Linked DNA regions of Canis lupus familiaris. The protein of the gene in region 2 interacts with the protein of the main gene of each other region in a pairwise test. Links are inferred from orthologs where the notes say so. Each region holds a gene or a part of one and is shown on either strand. Other genes may lie near its edges. The genes, in order: FRYL, HOMER3 and EAF1.

Region 1 (3,745 bases), on a different chromosome or scaffold from region 2:
CAAGCACAGCAAGAAAGGAAGGCACAAAATGAGCAGGGGCTGGATGACAAAAGGTTTCATCCCATGGGGGATAAAAGATGGAGAGAGATGGGAAGAGCGGGCTTTTAGAAGGAGCCTTTGGCAGCAACATGGAAGAGGCTAAGAAGACAAAAAGGAAGCTCTGGCAATAATCCAGATGATAATGAAGAGAGGCCTGAACCAAGTTAAGTGGCTCTGGGAACAGAAGGCAGGAGAGACTAAGGAAACTGTAGAAGGTAGGACAACACATTTTGATAAGTGGCTGGGGGCAGGGGAGTAGGGGTGGCGAGTGTAGGTGGTGTATTGGTGAGAGAGGGCTGTTGATCCACACCTACTTTCTGGCTCAGGGAGACTGTGGGTACAGTACTGTCTACCATGGTGGGGAACATCCTGTCATTCAAAACTGAACTCAAATTCCTTTCCCTGTAAGTCTTCTCTGTCCCCTGTGGTTCAATAGGATTCCTTTGGTCTCCTTACTCCCCATTCTTGTCACATGTAACAGTCACGTGGTAAGTCATGATGCATATGCAGCAGCACTCGGTTAACTTCTTACTGTTAACTTTACATGCATATTTACTCTCTGATGAAACTAGAAGCTCCTTATGAGCCAAGATCACATTTAGTGGTTTCAGTACAGTATATGCTCAATCAATGTGAGCTGATTCAAGTGCTGGATTATGAAAACAACCCCTGGAAGAGAGAGGTAACTACCATCCTTCTCTAGGGTCTTAAAAATATTTTTATCTTCTCTCTCTCTCCTTTTTAAATACAATAAAGGGCCAAGGGAAGATTTTAAAAAGACTTCCACAGATACTGGTAAAAGAAAAACAGTCTCCCACTTTTGGGGCTAGAACGACCTAGTCAGGGTCTTGGTGAACGACTTTGTCTCTCCTCTCCACATTAACCTATTGCTTTACAACAGTAAAAACACCTTCACGAGATGTGGACCATGACTGCCCAAGGGAAACGGGATGCCCACAAACTGAATCATTAGAATACTAATAGCTAACGACAAAGGCTTTACAAACATCTGTTTTTGGTTCACTTCTGGATTCAGGGAATGTGATTACATGAGATTTGGCTGTGGCTGGTTACAGGGTTAGGGCAATGACATGTAGAAATGTTTAAATGGTCACAAAACAAAATAACCACATAATTCACAAGTATCTAAGCAAACTAAGTTTTTACAAGACAAGCTCAGGCTGTGATATAATCTAATGCACTGTTCTGATACAAGAGCCCATTAGTTAGAGCTTTATTATCACTATAAACCTGTCTTACTATTTTTTAAAAGTACCTGGTAAGGATGGAGGAAGGAGGGACAAAGGGGCAAGAGAGATTAGAAACTACAGTCGGTTTTAGTAAAAATGCATTCTGTATTACCCTTTTAAGTAGTAAAAGTACTTCATTTAAATTAGTAATTACAATTCAATTGTAATTCAATTATAATTCTAATTATTTAGAATTTAATTATTTTATTTATTAAATAATTTATTTAATTATTTTTAATTTATTTAATTATAATTATTCAATTATAATTCTCCCAATATTTTAATTCACTTAGAAACTTTCCTAGAACTAAGATAACTTTCTGCCATCTGGCAGAACAACATCTCCATATGGAAGAATTACTTACAGATCAAAAATAAAAGAAATACGGAGATTGTAAGTGCAGTATATTTGGCAAAATACAAATCTCTTCAAATTCTATTCTGTAAGGCTTTCCCTTAAGAGGTTTTCTCCCCCTATATCAACATTTGGCCTTTTACATTATTTGCTTACAAAACTATGCTAAGTAAATATTTTGGTAAAGAGTCAACTGGAAAAAATTAAATTTAGGTCTTTCATATTTTATTCAGTAGTTTGCTCAGACACCAGCAGCACAGTTGGGAGCAAGAACAACTCAGTTCTAATTCCAGTTCTTTGCCACTGTATGACCTTGGTAAAGTCACATTTTTTCCCCTATGTTTTAGTTTTCTTTGGCCAAAACAGACATTACAACAGAATCTTTGCTCGATTACTCCATTAGTTTGATATCATATTATTATGATAATTTTGACCAAAAAAAAAAAACACAGATTGTGGTAATAAATCATTTCTAGAAGTGCTTTCAGGTCTTCAGAGAAAAGTACCACTGGAAAATACTAGAAATACTGAACAAAATCAGGATTTCTGTCAAATTCACATATTGGGAAGGGAGTTATGGACAACATGACAACTCAACGACATTAGTTTTACTGACCTACCTGAACTTTGAATGTTCCTTATCAGAAAACTCACTACATACAGGAAAAATCCTCCTAGTAACTTCAATTACAGGAGTAGGGGAAAACTTATGAGCATTATATTAAATCATCTGATGCTTTCAGACAGCTGATGCTGCTTCAAACAAACATTCTGTCCTAACAGAACTGTGGAATAGTACTGGTATCTGAGAACCCTGCAGAGGTCGGAGTCTATCTGTCATTTCCCCCCCTATGTCGGACCAATGGAGAGAAACTTTGCCAGAACCATACAAAAAATTAACAAGAAAACCAACGCTGGTCAATTTCAGTCAAAGACTATTTAACCGCCAATAGTACGACTGCCCAGTGTGTACACATCCAGATTTTCTAACCCTCTCACTGACTACCATCCAAGAAAATACTCCTCGTGTTATTTTCAACAGCTCTGATTCTATTTGGATTGGTCTAAAGGATTAGCATGCAAGGAATGGCCATGATCATACATCAGCATTTCTCCCATTTAGGAATATATATACTTACAGCTGCTGCTCCAGGACTTTAACAAGGACTTTATGCTAATTTCAAAAAACACAGAATCCTGTAGGCTCAACATTGTGTCTCAACTGGGCTGCTACAGCAGCAGCAGCCTCCGGTTTGTTGATCTATCTCTCCAAGCCGCTGTCCCTTCTCCTCTCCCAGGCAGCAGAGTTTTGGCCCACAGTGCTTTGGCTTCATTACCATGCAGTCTCGCAGTGACGCACAACTATAGTGGAAACGCTGCTGAATGCAGATGAACTATCCAGTTGAATAAAAGCTTACAAGTTTATTACAAGTGCCCTGAAGGACATCATCACCTTTCTTTAGGTAGGCATACACGTGGCCGCAAGAATCTTTCTCTGCTTCTGCTCCCGGGCTTATCAGTTTTGATGAGCTGTGTGTCTCCGGCTGCCTTCCCTGTAGTCACTACTGACTGCTAGTAAACACACAAGGGTAGAGCTCTGCCCTTGGATGCCAACTTTTCTCACTTAAGGGCCTAAGGAATAAAAATAAATTCAGGTCTGGCCTAAGAGCTTTAAATCTCTTCCTATAACAGCTGACCAAAAAGAAAAAGAAAAAAAAAAAGACTCAGGGGTATTTATCCCACTCCAGTATCAGTTTTCTCTAGGTGATTTCAGTAGTACATTCTCTTCTCTTTGCCCTTCTACCTTACTACCCCCAGGCAGTAAGCAGTGACTTTCTCAGCAGGGTTATGATACCGAGTCCACGGCCTCACTGAACCCACCAGAGAGAACGCTGGCTAAATGGGATGAAAAGATGATGTAATGAACACTGTGGCTGAGCCCCCATCGGCCCTCTAAAAACTGCTCAGCTCAGGACAAAGTTTCCTCTGCTTCATGCAACTTATTCAAAAGAGGGAATTCTGTTATAGTAATGGGATTATTTCAAAATATAGGGCCTTCTATTCTTAATATAGCACATAATTCCCCTAGAAAAGCTTACAG
Region 2 (3,745 bases):
TCTGGAAATAAGTCTTCAGAAACGACGCGACCTGGAATTCACCTAAAGGTAATTAGAAGATAGCTACCAGCCCAGATGATTCTGGTCAGGGGAAAACAGAAATAAAAACAGGGAAATGAGACGGGGCGGAGAAGGCAAAAAGCAAAATCTCTGAGATTGTTGGAAAGCTCAAGCATGAGGTTTAGGGCTTTAGGGAACTGTAGGCCTCGGTTTGAGGGAGCTGCAGTGCCTCTGTCCACGAACCCGATGGCACTGTGTGACTTTGGAGGAGTCCAGAGAAAGGGCAGCCACTGGACTGCCAAGTAAGTGGGTCCCACAGGCAGACCCTGGCCTGGGGAGGCTGATCCTGGCTCATCTCCAGTTGGACCCTCTCCTGGCAAGTGCCTGAAGGGTTCCCCCTGACCAGTGATGGCAAACCCAGGCCTGAGGACCTCCAGGAGATTTGCACAATTGGTGGGAGCTGGGCCCCAATATTCGCTCTACCCTGGCTTCTGAGACCCTATAACATAGCAATACTGATAATTCGACCATGTTGGCATTGTTACCTTCCTCTCCTGGGAGACAAGGTGGATAGAAGCCTCTCCCCAACAGGGGATTGGAGCTGGGGGGGGAGTCAGGCAGGAACGATTCCTAACGGGGCACCCCTGATCAAGTCTCATTAAGTGCCTACTGTTTGCCTCTCTCAGCCTCTTCTAGCTTTCGCCCAGCCTGTGTCTGTTTCATTTCCAGGCTACACCCACTGAGCACCTACTGTGTGCAAGCACCCAGCTCCGTGCGATAGAGGAGCCCCGGCCTCTAGATCCCTGTCAGGTGGAGAGGGACTCCCATCAAAGGCAGAAGGTCATGACCTCAGGCAGTGCCCCGAGGGCCAGGGCCGCCCCGACAGGACGATCAAGCCCCATCCTCCATCTGTCTGCCTCCTGTGTCTCTCCCTCATGTCTCTGCCTCTGGGTCTGGGTCTCTGTCCCCATCCGCCCCGGCCCTCTTCCCCGCTCTTCACCCCGCCCCCCGCCCCCAGGGAGTCCCGTCCCGCCCCGCTCCCGGCTTCCGCCCCTCCCTTCCCCCCCCCGCCGCGGAGGGCCGGCAGGGGGCGCTGCGGGGCGGCCTCGGCGGCCCGGGGAGGCGGGGCGGGCGGCGGCCGCGTCGGGACCGGCCGCGATGGGACCGGAGGCGGCGCGGGCGGCGGCGGAGGCGCAGACAAAGGCGCGGGCGGCGCGGAGGGCGGCGCGGAGGGCGCGGGCCCCGGAGCCAGCGAGCGAGCGGGGCGCCCGGCTGCGGGGAGTCGGCGCCGCGGGGCAGCACCCGACTCGCGCCCGGACACTCGCGGGGCGCCGAGCCCGCAGGGTGAGCCCGGCTGTCCGAGCCTGCGCGGGGGACGCGGGGGCCCCCAGGTGCCAGGGCCGGGGCGAGGGCGCGGGGGTCCCCGAAGTTCCGGGCCGGGAGGCTGGGGGCGGCCGGGGAGCCCCGAAGTTCCAGGGCTTGAGAGGGCGCAGGGGCCCCGAAGTTCCGGAGCCGGGGTCGGAGAGGGCACGGGGCGAGGGGTTCCCAAAGTTCCGGACCCGGCGTTGGAGGAGGCTGCGCTGTCCCCGACGTTCCCGGCCTGGGGTTGGGAGGCGGCACGAGAGGATCCCGAAATCACCGACCCGGGGCTGGAGAGCTGGCAGGGAGTCCCCGGAATTTAGAAGTCGGAGGTGGTGCGAGGGATCCCCGAAGTTCTGGACCCGGAGTCGGGGGGCATCGCGCGAATCTCGGAAGTTCCCGGGTCGAGGGTGGCACTTCCCGAAGTCGGGGAGCGCACTGGGCGCCCCGATTCTGACGCGGATGGGAATTCTTTCCTTACTGAATACCAGGCCCCCCAGCCCGGGGCGCATGGGGTGGGGCTTCGCCCCCACACGCAACTGGGGATCCTGGCACCGGGCGGGGTCCGGGCCTCCTCCGGGAGCCCCGCGGCCGGCGGCGACCGAGGCACATGACTAGTTGGTGAGTAACTTTCCCCAAAGCTGCAAGTCGCGGCAGGACCGTCAGGGCCGGCAGGGCCTGGGTTTCTGGGACCCCTGCACCCTGGAACCCTGCTTCGACCCAGGACTTGCTCCCAACCCGGGCCAGCGCTGCCGCCCCTCCCCCACACAGGGGCTCCGGTTTCAGACCCTGTGACCCGGGCAGCAGCTGCCCAGGACAGGGTGGGGGGGCAACCCTCCTCTGACCAGGGAGGCCGCTCCGCGGGGGGCCTCCCTTCCCCCACTGGCCACCTCCCTTCCCCAGGTCCCTCCTGGTCCCCTGCAGATCCCCCAGATGCAGGTTTTGGAGGCACAGAGGTGAGGTTAAGGAATTCTCCAGGGCAGCCATTCCTGGTATCTGTGAGGTCGTGGCTGGAGGCAGCAAGAGGGGCTGGGGATCTCCCAATCCTTGATGCCACCCAGCCCTGCATGGTATTGGGATAGAGTGGTCATGGGCAATCGGTTAGTGGGTACCAGGGTAAATTTGTTTGACTACATCTTCTTAACTAGGCTGGCAGCTCCCTGGGGATTTGGACTCTGCCTCCAAGTGTGCCTCTGCCCTAGAGTGGAAGCTGAGGGGTCCCTCTGTGGGATCTAGGAGGAACTGGTCTCCCAGGAGGCATCTGGTGATGGCCACATTTTGATGGAGATCCTGGTTTGGGGAGTGATGAGTGAATGTGGCAGAAAATACCAAGTAGGAGTTCACCTTGGCCTTCTCTATCTAGCACCAGTATTGAGGGGGTGTCACTCTGGGTTCAGTAACCAGCATGCTGACAAGTTTATGCTGGGAGATCCAGGGCCACCTGGCTCCTCTCGGAGAGTCATCTCCTGCTCAGGGTGTGTGGGGGCTTCCTCCCAAAGGAGAGGGACAGGGTGTTTTTGCTGAATGATCTGCTGATTCCTTTACCTTTCTAATTGAGGTTCTATGAATGGTGTGGCTGGTGGTGGGTCCTGAGGTTGGACCCGCTTGGTTTCCTTAAGCCTGTCCTGGGGAGACACTCACAATCCCTCTCTCCCCCCAGAGGCTGAACCCGCAGCTCCTGCCATCCCTCTGGCTGCCTCTTGGAGCCCACCCAACCCAACCTGACCAATGTCCACAGCCAGGTGAGCCCCTGCCTCCCCAGCTTGGCCCTGAGCCCCCTGGGGGATGCCTAGCCCCACTGAGAACCGTCTCCCCACGCAGGGAGCAGCCCATCTTCAGCACACGGGCACATGTGTTCCAGATTGACCCGGCCACCAAGCGGAACTGGATCCCCGCGGGCAAGCACGCACTCACGGTCTCCTACTTCTATGATGCCACCCGAAATGTCTACCGAATCATCAGCATTGGGGGTGCCAAGGTCCTGGCAGGGCCTGGGTGGGGGTGGCAGGCTCCTGAGGTCTCAGAGGCAGGTTTGGGTCTAGTCATTACCCTGCTGTGTGCCTGGGGGCTGGGGGTTGGGAGGAGCCCTTAAATCAGTCTCTGTCTTGAGATGGCTCACACCTAGAACCTCCCAAGAGCTAATACAAAGTGACACCCTGGGGGTCTCATGTTCATTATTGTCAGTCTCATCAAGCTTGAATTGTGTTCCCCCCTCTTCCCTCTTCCCAGGCCATCATCAACAGCACCGTCACCCCCAACATGACCTTTACCAAAACCTCCCAGAAGTTTGGGCAGTGGGCAGACAGTCGTGCCAACACCGTCTATGGCCTTGGCTTTGCTTCTGAGCAGCATCTGACCCAGGTGGGCTTGCAGGATTACATGGCGG
Region 3 (3,745 bases), on a different chromosome or scaffold from region 2:
AGTTTCTGCTGCTTAAAATCGGACACCAAAGCTTGATCTCTTTTCAATTTCTCCTCTTCTTCAGAGCTGAGAATCCTTGCCTGCAGCCCTTTTCTTTGCAAAGAAGCCATCTCCTCAACTGACAGGCATTACTGTTAACAGTGCTGAGGACTCTCCATCCCTGAGGAACCCGAGGACTCCAAGCTGATATTGCAGACATACAGAGGCAGGGTTTTTTCGGATGCAGTTTCTCAAGATTGGATTAATCCTGATTGGATTTCTCAGGCAGCACTGAGCCCTTGTGCAGGAGAAAGGAGATTCCGTTAGTGGCTTTAGAACAGTTTTTAAGACGCTGGGTTGGTGGTTCTAGAACATTTCTGTCACCAAACAGTTCAGACGCTGACTCGACACAACCTGGCCCACTACACAAGAGGTCGGTCACAAAGACCAAGACGCAGTCCCTACCTTCAGACAGACGGCCAGGACTCTCACGCACCGAACCACAAGTCAACTATTATAAACCGCTTTGCTTTTTAAAAAAGGACAGGCCCAAGGACTGACTGAGGAACCTTAGGGAGAAGACGCTCATCGGTTTTCGGTGCCCGCGACGAGGGGCGACTTAAAACAACCATGAGAGCTTCCCGAGGTGGCGACAGGCGGTCAAGTGGGGTCACCGTCGCCCAAGGATCGGAGACTCGCTTTGGGGGAGGGGGGAGATTTGGAGCCAAGCCCGGCGGCCTGAGTCTCTGATCGCACTCCCAAGAAGCTGTCTCACGAACCAGTGGGGGCGTCGCTTTCCAGGGGCTGGGGCTCCGGCTCCTCCATTAACGCGTGAGGGAGAAGAGGCCAATGACGCGCGGGGCCGGAGCCGTCGGGCGGAGGGCGCTCGGGAGAAACCAGGCCGCCGCGGCCGCCAGGGCCTGCGGAGAGCCGGCCACGCTGGCTACCGGGCCCGTGTTCACCTAGTTCGCCGCGCTCTCGGGCTCACCGTCGTCGGTTCTTACATTCGCCTGATCGGGGAGGGCCGGACGCCCTCGGCCCTCAGCCCGGCTAGGGGAGCCGCCACGCGGGGACAAACCCGCCTCAGGCACCTCACCCGGCGGAACCCTCAGCCATGGCGCCGCCCCCGCCACTTCCGCCTCGGACGCAGAGGTCCCGCCCCGCCGCCGGAAGTCGCGCGGCCCTGCTTCCGCGCAGGCCTCCCCCGCCCGGCCCGCCCCGCCGCCGAGGAGAGGACCTGCTTCCGGCCCCGGGTGGGCGCCGGCTGGGCTCGCCGCGCGCCGCGGAGCGCGGCCCAGGGAGCGTCGGTCCCCCGGACGCTGGCGCCGGAAGCTCGGGCCGCGGCTGCGCGGGGAGAGCGCCGGTGCGGGCGCGGGGCTCGGCGAGGGCCATGAACGGGACCGCGAACCCGCTGCTGGACCGCGAGGAGCACTGCCTGCGGCTCGGGGAGAGCTTCGAGAAGCGGCCGCGGGCCTCTTTCCACACCATTCGCTGTAAGCCGGCGCTCCCCTGCGTCCCTTTCGGCCGCTGCCCCGCCTTTGCCAGCCCGACCCCTCCCTCGGCCCCCGGCCCCCGGCCCCCGAAGCCCTGGAAGCCCTGGAAGCCCTGGAAGCCCCTGCCCACGTCAGCTCCCTTCTCTTCCCCTCGATCCTCCGGGACCTCAGTCCCCCCGCCCCCACCCCTCCTTTTTCCCAGCTCGCTTCCAAACCAAACCCTCCGTCACCCCCAACGATATTCTTGTGCCTTGTGATCCCAGATACTTCTTCCGAAGGTGGTCGGCCCCCTTGCTTTTTCGTCCGCCCACTCGGCCCTTCCTTATGCGAAACTGACCCCCCCCCCTCTTTATTACGGAAAGACCGTGACCTCACGTCGGCCTCCAGGTCGCCTGTGGGCCATCCCCCTTTCCCAGGGCCCCGCCAGGGTCCTCCACGGTTAAAGGGCCCTTCCCGTCTGCTCGCGAGCCTCGTCGCCTCCCTCCCCTTCCATCCCCTTCTTCCCTGCCCTCCTCAGCCTTCTTGCCTCGTCCGTCTTTGTTCGGGCCACCCCGAGCCTGCGCTCCATCTCCTGGGCAGCCCGAGAATCCGCGTCCCCCGTGCGCTCCGTCAGCGTCTTCCCCCCTCTAGCTTTGCGTGCCTCGTCGGACCCTGCTGTCTTTTGAGGTCACCCATCCTACCCACACTTAAACCCCGTACCAAGCCCCATGTGGGCGACGAATAAAATTAGCATTGGTGAGCCTGGAGTAAGTTAAAGCTTGGTGAGCTATGTTTGGAAGCCGAGGAGGAGGCCTAAAGACCAGCCAAGTAGTCATTATGCTGGACCTTCCTTTTCTGCGTGATTACAGACTCTGTGGAGGGAGGGCACGTCCACTCCAGGCCCTGCGTGAAGTTTCGGCTGTTAGGAATGGGCTGACTGGAGCATCCCTCTGTGATTCACAAGCTCCTGGTTTCCCGTCTTGGTAGTGCTCGTGCTGGTTAAGACTTGTTTTTGTCGAAGGAGCTAATAAAAGTGACTCAACACATTGGAAGAGGGCGTGTTGGGAGAATGAAGTTCCATCTTTCCGTGGTCACTTGCCTTCCCATTACCGTGTCTCCTGCTGACAGCAGATCGGCTTTCTCAGAGGGTAGATGTGGGTGGGGAATGTGACAGGAGCATCATTTCCTGAGCAGTTTCCTTAGTTGATGGTTTAATAGGGTGAAGGGCAGTGCGGAATTTGAGAGGCTTCACATAAGCACCTGGCCTGCAGCTTGAGACCAGTGTATGTCAAAATGGAGAAAAATGACTATTCATGTTGTACTTTGGCAGCAGTTGAGAGATGTGGGCAGGATTAACCTTTGGAGGTGCAGTTCAGCCATCTGCTCTGTACTTTTACAAGAGTGTTTTTATTTTTGTTAAAGCTATAGAAGTTGAGTGTGGCAAATTCTGATTTTGAGTTTCTTTGCAAAATGAAATCAGTTTATGTGGTACTGTGGCCTTCCATGTTTCATACTGGGCTTAACAATCAGAGAATCTTTCAAAAATGCTGTGTTTGCTTTTGATCCTGTACGCAACAACCCTAATAAAACACCTTATGGATAATGGGGCGTTAATTTTCATCTGTCACTTGGGAGAAGGGAGTATCTTTGCTTAATAAAATGGTATATGAATTCTAGCTTTTTTTCTTCAAAATGATCCAGTGGGGATGGGAGGAAAATATGTGGGAGGTATAGATGAAACAAAATTGTACCTAAATTGGTAATTATTGAAGCTGGGTGACAGGACACCGAGGCTCATATTGTACTATTCTTTGCTTTTGTATATGTGGAATTTTCCACAATGAAATAGGTTTTTTTTTTAATTCTAAATTTGTATTTTGCATTTATCTGGAGTGACAAAAAAAATTAATGTTTAAATAAGAATGCCCAGGAGGCTTAGTATAAGTAACTTGGTGGATAAATGCTCTTTTGCTTTTCCCTTTAGATGACTTTAAGCCAGCATCTATAGATACTTCATGCGAAGGAGAGCTTCAGGTTGGCAAAGGAGATGAAGTCACAATTACACTGCCACATATCCCTGTAAGTTTATGCACTGTGGAATCACAGTGAATCCTCATATTCTTTTATTGCGATTTGAATTTCCTACTATTTACAAACTTCTAGATTTCTAAAGTTCCAACATAAGGAAAAAAGGAATTTTGGGGGTGGGGTAGGGTGGAATTCATGCTTCCCAAGTGCTTGAGTAAAAATGATTCTTTGCCATTTTCCCCAATCTCCCTTTTCCCCCCATTTGC

Evidence for each region.
Region 1: the proteins of HOMER3 (region 2) and FRYL interact in binary tests that used the Homo sapiens proteins (3 or more experiments, as listed by UniProt). The two-hybrid records come from large-scale screens. The link is inferred for Canis lupus familiaris from reciprocal best matches to the Homo sapiens genes HOMER3 and FRYL.
Region 3: the proteins of HOMER3 (region 2) and EAF1 interact in binary tests that used the Homo sapiens proteins (3 or more experiments, as listed by UniProt). The two-hybrid records come from large-scale screens. The link is inferred for Canis lupus familiaris from reciprocal best matches to the Homo sapiens genes HOMER3 and EAF1.

What each region holds. Positions count from the first base shown.
Region 1 is NC_049234.1:45,165,070-45,168,814, forward strand, and holds the start of FRYL (protein furry homolog-like), read right to left. Parts: upstream 2,897-3,745; 5' UTR 2,857-2,896; coding exon 2,784-2,856; intron 1-2,783. UniProt on the Homo sapiens protein: Plays a key role in maintaining the integrity of polarized cell extensions during morphogenesis, regulates the actin cytoskeleton and plays a key role in patterning sensory neuron dendritic fields by promoting avoidance between homologous dendrites as well as by limiting dendritic branching.
Region 2 is NC_049241.1:44,587,795-44,591,539, forward strand, and holds the start of HOMER3 (homer protein homolog 3), read left to right. Parts: upstream 1-1,208; 5' UTR 1,209-1,344; intron 1,345-1,450; exon of another isoform or gene 1,451-1,980; intron 1,981-2,325; exon of another isoform or gene 2,326-3,019; 5' UTR 3,020-3,087; coding exon 3,088-3,101; intron 3,102-3,180; coding exon 3,181-3,337; intron 3,338-3,588; coding exon 3,589-3,720; intron 3,721-3,745. UniProt on the Homo sapiens protein: Postsynaptic density scaffolding protein. Binds and cross-links cytoplasmic regions of GRM1, GRM5, ITPR1, DNM3, RYR1, RYR2, SHANK1 and SHANK3.
Region 3 is NC_049244.1:27,713,084-27,716,828, reverse strand, and holds the start of EAF1 (ELL-associated factor 1), read left to right. Parts: upstream 1-1,291; 5' UTR 1,292-1,369; coding exon 1,370-1,472; intron 1,473-1,702; exon of another isoform or gene 1,703-1,781; intron 1,782-2,776; exon of another isoform or gene 2,777-2,791; coding exon of another isoform or gene 2,792-2,816; intron 2,817-3,435; coding exon 3,436-3,530; intron 3,531-3,745. Other genes in the region: tRNA N(3)-methylcytidine methyltransferase METTL6, read right to left, coding at 1-110. UniProt on the Homo sapiens protein: Acts as a transcriptional transactivator of ELL and ELL2 elongation activities.